2 linked regions of the Tribolium castaneum genome follow. The protein of the gene in region 1 purifies or fractionates together with the protein of each later gene. This does not show direct contact. Links are inferred from orthologs where the notes say so. Each region holds a gene or a part of one and is shown on either strand. Other genes may lie near its edges.

Region 1 (2,689 bases):
TTGGAAACCGAAAGTGCGGCAGAAAGATATCGACTTGTTTTTGGACACTGCTAGATTAAAATTCGTCGGGTATAGTCTACAAGGCGATCGCGATAGTTTAGCTGGACTACCTTTACCCATCCATGAAGGAGTTAAAACTTTGAAAGAAGTAGTGCGCTTGAGTTGCGAGTGTCTTACGGTCTAACTTTGCGGTTTTAGCATGTTTATACTTCTTTAGCTGAGTTGCAAATTCAAAAAGAGGAAGAGATTGCTCGTAATCCTCTCTCGACGTCCGAGGGCGAAATAGAAATGACTCCAACTGAAATTTTGTATCAGGCAATGTTGCCTAATCTACCACAATACATGATAGCTTTACTTAAAATATTACTTGCTGCTGCTCCTACCTCAAAAGCTAAAACTGATTCTATTAATATTATGGCTGATGTTTTGCCAGAAGAGATGCCGTAAGTGTCCGACGGTTTCTTAACTTTGGTTTAAGACAGTTGTTTTTTTAGAATGACTGTTCTCCAGTCAATGAAATTGGGAATTGACGTAAATAGGCACAAGGAAATTATAGTTAAGGCAGTTTCTGCAATTTTATTGTTACTTCTGAAACATTTCAAATTGAATCATATTTATCAGTTTGAATTCATGTCTCAGCATCTAGTTTTTGCAAACTGTATACCTCTAGTATTGAAATTCTTCAATCAGAACATCATGGCTTACGTGGGCGCGAAGAATGTGTAAGTTCCAGGATCTATAGCAAACATGTCTGCATAAATAGCTTTTTAGGATTCCTATATTAGATTTTCCGTCTTGTGTGATCGGTGATCAACCGGAACTAACAGCTGAAAGTCTGGAGATCGGAGACTCAGCACCATTTTCCTGGAGGAATATGTTCTCATGTATTAATTTGTTAAGGATACTCAATAAGTTAACAAAATGGAAACATTCCAGGATTATGGTATGTACAAATAAAAATGTTCTTAATGCTAATTTTTTTGTTTAGATGTTGGTGGTTTTTAAATCCGCTCCAATTTTAAAACGCACACTCAAAGTCAGGCATGCAATGACCCAACTGTACGTTTTAAAATTATTAAAAATGCAAACCAAATACTTGGGTCGCCAATGGCGCAAATCTAATATGAAAACTATTAGTGCCATCTACCAGAAAGTGAGGCATCGGTTGAACGATGACTGGGCATACGGAAATGGTAATTGTTCCTGTTTATTGTTATATTTTTCTATAGTTTTCTGTGCAGATTTGGACGCAAGACCCTGGGATTTCCAAGCTGAGGAATGTGCTTTGAGAGCTTCAGTTGACAGGTTTAATAACCGTAGATATACGCAAGCAAATGTATGTCTTGCATTACCCCGTTAGATACTTTTATTGTACTAATAAGTTTCCCTTACAGCAAGACAGCGAATTTGCACCTGTGGATAACTGTCTAAACAGCGTGCTTGGGACCACCTACGATCTCTCCGAGAGTTTTAAACAACACTACCAACTTTGGCTAGAACAAGAAGTTTATGGGAATACTATCGAATGGGAGGAACTTCTCTTAAACCAAACAATATAGTGACTTTGATATTATTTATTGAACTATTGCAGTAAATATAACACCATCACAATTTTCATCACTGCAATAAATATACTCAGTTTCAATTAAGTAAGTGGTGTGTTACATTTACGGCATTTTTGTATTTTTTTGTTCGTTTTAGTTCAGTTTTTGTGTTCTAGTTAGTATTCAATGTTTCGTTTTGTTTTTGACAATTCCTATTGAATTAACTTTGTTATCCGCACCAGTTCTTATTTGTTGGAAAATAATTCCCCAGTTAAAAAAATTTTGGTTACTTCAGTATTTAAATATATTTGCTATATAATGATTAGTTTGTTTTATTCATTCCCCATTTTTTTAATCATTCTTTCCTTTCCATCCACTCCTTATTGACGTAATATCATCGTTTCTGCATATTGGTCAGTATGTGAAGGATTATTACATGAATAGGGAACTCAAGACTTAACCAATTGATTTTGCAGCAATTTTTGCGAATATGTGAAGCGCAAATTCGAAGCGAGGATTTTAATAAAGGTTCCAGTATCTTCAAAAAAAAAGCACAAAAATATAGTTAAGTACAAAAAGGGAAAACAAAGTAATAAAAAAAAGAATACATCCCAAATGACCAAACGTGTTTTTTGAAACTGACGCGTGATATAGCCACATCTTACTTTCAAACCGATATAATACACACGTATGACTTAAAAAACTTGATTTATTTTAATTTGAATTGTAGATAATATTCTCCTTTAAATTTAGTGATATAAATTTTTCCAAGTAAACAAAAAACACATATAATACATTTATTAAAATAAATTCAATTTCTTAACCACATTAATAACTTAATTTCACGTTACTATTAAATTAACAATCAAGAACCCGTTTTTAATTCCATGTTGTATAAATTAATTGCTACTTCTGTAATCTCTTTAAAATCCTGAAGTGGATATTGGAATGTAGTCAACTACTACAAAAGCTTTATCATGAGCGTAGTTATATCAATAAACATTTTCTTCAGTTGTTCATTGTTGTCTGCCAATGGATAGATAACATCCTTGCTGCTTTTACCTTCTTCATAATAATCAGTGTTTTTCCAGTTGCAAACAGAAGACGGTTAACAGTTTCTTTTCAGCGGTCAGATAATACTTATA
Region 2 (3,471 bases), on another chromosome or scaffold:
TCGGTTAACGGCAATGAGTCGATTAAGCGCGCCAGCGAGACGCAGGGTAAGATCTTAACTTTTAACATAATTCGGAATTATTGAACAATGTTTAATGATTTTACAGGGAGAAGAACTCCAGCTAAGAAACCTCAACCCAGCTCATTGGCCGAAGCAATGATGCTCGATACAGAAGCGGCGGTTATGGCCAATTTGGACTTCCTGTCTAATGCTGATGTTGACATGGAAGACGATGATGATATGAGTGATGATGTTGACATTGAGCCCACTGATGATCTCGACGACGATGTGAAAGTGGTGAAACGAAAAGGTGTGCACTTGTCACTTAGTAAATCAGCATTAATTACGATTTATGTGCAGGTAAACTGGATAGTTTGGGAGATGATGTGGACGCCGAAGCCATGGAAGTTCTAAACGAACTCAATCTTTTGTCCGAGTCTGGAGAGCGACAGGAATTTAAGAATGAGCACAGCGAGTGGAAGAAAGGTAAAAATCGTTGTAACCACGGTAGTTTTGCAATAACAGCGAAATTTTCCAGGTTTTCAAGGTGGAGTGCCTAAGAGGCCGCTGGGCCTAAACGACGACGATAACATTGATTCGGCGTTAGGGCTCGGCGAACTGGCCCAACTGACGGTAAACAATGATGCAGAGACTACGTACGACATTGCCAGCAGTAAAGAGGCATTTCGGAAGACATGGAATGCCAAATACACGCTTCGAAGTCACTTTGACGGGGTCCGAGCGCTAGCTTTTCATCCAAATGAGTCCGTACTGATCACAGCTAGCGAAGACCACACTTTGAAACTGTGGAATTTGCAGAAAACTGTACCCGCGAAAAAATCGGCATCCCTTGATGTGGAACCCTTGTACACCTTTAGGTAATAATGTCAAGTGTAAGGAAATAAACAAGAGTGAAATTCACGTTACAGGAATCATACTGGACCCGTTCTTTGTTTGGCGATTTCCGGGACCGGAGAATTTTGTTATTCCGGTGGCTTAGATGGCGTGATAAACTGTTGGAATGTTCCTAATTCTAACATAGATCCGTACGATTTGTTTGAACCTGACGTTCTAAACACTACGTTGCAAGGTCATACTGACGCTGTTTGGGGGCTGTCTGTTTTAAATTCTCGGCAGCATTTGCTCTCATGTGCGGCCGATGGTACTGTTAAGTTGTGGGCACCGCATAGCAAGGTATTTCGTGTTGTGATTTTTTCCGTAATAAATGATTTTTGGTTTAGGTACAATTACTGAACACGTTCACGTCCGAACAGGACGGGATCCCCTCAAGTGTAGATTTCGTGAGAGACCAACCAAATCGTATAGTCGCAGCTTACGCTAGTTCTCATTGTGTAGTATATGATTCTGAAACTGCCAAATCCGTCATGCGGCTCGAATCCAGTCAAGACAGTGTTAATCCTAATAATAAGCAAATAAATAGAATAGTTTGCCATCCGACTTTACCCTTGACCATCACAGCACACGAAGATAGACATGTTCGTTTCTGGGATAATCACACCGGCAAAATGGTCCATTCTATGGTTGCTCATCTCGAAGCTGTCACTAGCCTAGCAGTAGATCCTAACGGGTTGTATTTATTATCAGGCAAGTATTGCGACACTTGGTGTCAGGACATGTGTGACTGATTTTTTCAGGCTCACATGATTGTTCAATAAGATTATGGAACTTGGACAATAAGACTTGCGTTCAAGAGATCACTGCACACAGAAAGAAGTTCCACGAAAGCATTCTAGACGTCGCTTTCCACCCGACTCGGCCGTATATTGCAAGTGCGGGGGCTGATGGACTGGCCAAAGTGTTTGTCTGAATTATAAGTAAACAGGACATCACTTATATTAAATAGATTTTGTCAATCGATACATTCACTGGCTTTACTATTTGTGTGGGTTAGGTGTACATAAAATATTCTGAAGGAGTTTGTATATACTACATGATTGTACTCAAAGGCTTTTCTTACTTTAATTTCTCATGTTTTATTTATCACCAAAGTTTAGACAAACAACTTATGTACATGTTTCCTACACTTTGAGCTTATATGTGCTCACAGAATGATCTTGATGTTTCGTAGGAGTTAATTTTTGTTGTAGGATAGTCAGCGTTCTGATAAATCCCATCATTTGCAATTATTTTCTTGTTTCTGGACTTGCATACCAAAAGAATCGCTTTTGTGTACAGCTGGCCATACCCAAAGTGTAAGAAAAAATTCTCATTTTACACACAATGTCGACGCGTTTTCTTATTTTGTGATAACTAGTTTCAACTCACTAATAAATGAATTGCCACAGGAAAAACATTTTTAAAAGTGTATTAATAGTAACGTTTTTATAATAGTATTAAAATAGCTGTTATTTTATTATTTTAAGCATATAATTTATCACGTATATTTTTAAGTTTAATATAGTCCAGTGCATAATAGCTAAAGAAACGTAAAGTAGCAGTTAACAATAGTAAGTGATAATAAGTATAATTGTGAATGTATAAAAGTGTATTTAAATCATAGGATAATATTTAAGAAACTGGTCTCTCTATTAGTTATCTGTTTTCTAAAGTCAATAATGTATATATTAGCTTAATCATTTTCGGTTTTGATAGCGAGATTGTTGTGTTTATGTAACTTTTTATAGTGGCTACTATTTATTTTGTACACAAGTTTTAAACTGTTTAAAATGCTTCGAAACAGAACGATAAGTCCCGTATGATTTCAACATTGTAGATACAAAGTCATAGGAACTACTTACACCGTCATGTTCTATTTTATAAAGAAATTTCATGTTTGCAATGTATAAAACACCTGTAACTTTTTTAAAATAACCATAAGTGGTTACGAAGCGGTCAAATCACAAGGAATGAAGAATGTATGACTTAATGTATAAAACATAAAACAATAAACTGTAAATACTCAAGCTGTGTCCATTTGTTCAAACTGGCGATGGTTTAGCGCCTAAACCGCCAGCCAATGGCGCGAGGTAATACCAAGTGGCAGTTGGCTGTGATCTCCCCCCACCATCGATTTTTGGTATTTCATTTTAGAGAAAATGATGATAATCCTAGGCGTAGCGATCTGTCATCTGTGGTGTAGAAATTGGAGGTGTGGTTGGTGTTTGTAAAAAAATTTCAAACTTCCGATGTGCTCAAAATGTGTAAAATAATCCCTAGTGTTCGTTACAGTGCAGTTGTTTTGTTTAAGTGAACGTTTTCAGTTTGAAGATGTTTTGATGTGCGCTTTTAGTTAGGTTATGCTTGGATGAGCGTTTCTGGTCGTTGTAATTGGAATTACACACGTTAGACGGGGCTGTTGAGATGAGCAGTTGGGCAGCAAGGATGCACAGGCGAGCTGCCACATTCAGCAACGTGGTCACGTCCTGTGGCCACCCTTCCGGGCCCTACCCTCGGAGGCTGGAGAAAGTCAAGTTCGGGGTACCTCTCGAAGAAGTCTGCAAAAACGACATT

The links.
Region 2: the proteins of Strip (region 1) and Cka purify together in Drosophila melanogaster (affinity purification with western blotting; 4 studies listed by BioGRID, with this or other methods). This does not show direct contact. The link is inferred for Tribolium castaneum from reciprocal best matches to the Drosophila melanogaster genes Strip and Cka.

The regions. Positions count from the first base shown.
Region 1 is NC_087403.1:5,463,350-5,466,038, forward strand, and holds the end of Strip (striatin-interacting protein 1), read left to right. Parts: coding exon 1-148; intron 149-198; coding exon 199-443; intron 444-494; coding exon 495-722; intron 723-771; coding exon 772-943; intron 944-988; coding exon 989-1,193; intron 1,194-1,241; coding exon 1,242-1,336; intron 1,337-1,394; coding exon 1,395-1,559; 3' UTR 1,560-1,866; downstream 1,867-2,689.
Region 2 is NC_087402.1:3,095,194-3,098,664, reverse strand, and holds the end of Cka (striatin-3), read left to right. Parts: coding exon 1-46; intron 47-106; coding exon 107-310; intron 311-360; coding exon 361-486; intron 487-538; coding exon 539-878; intron 879-929; coding exon 930-1,194; intron 1,195-1,241; coding exon 1,242-1,605; intron 1,606-1,655; coding exon 1,656-1,828; 3' UTR 1,829-2,924; downstream 2,925-3,471. Other genes in the region: uncharacterized protein RhoGAP71E, read left to right, coding at 3,322-3,471.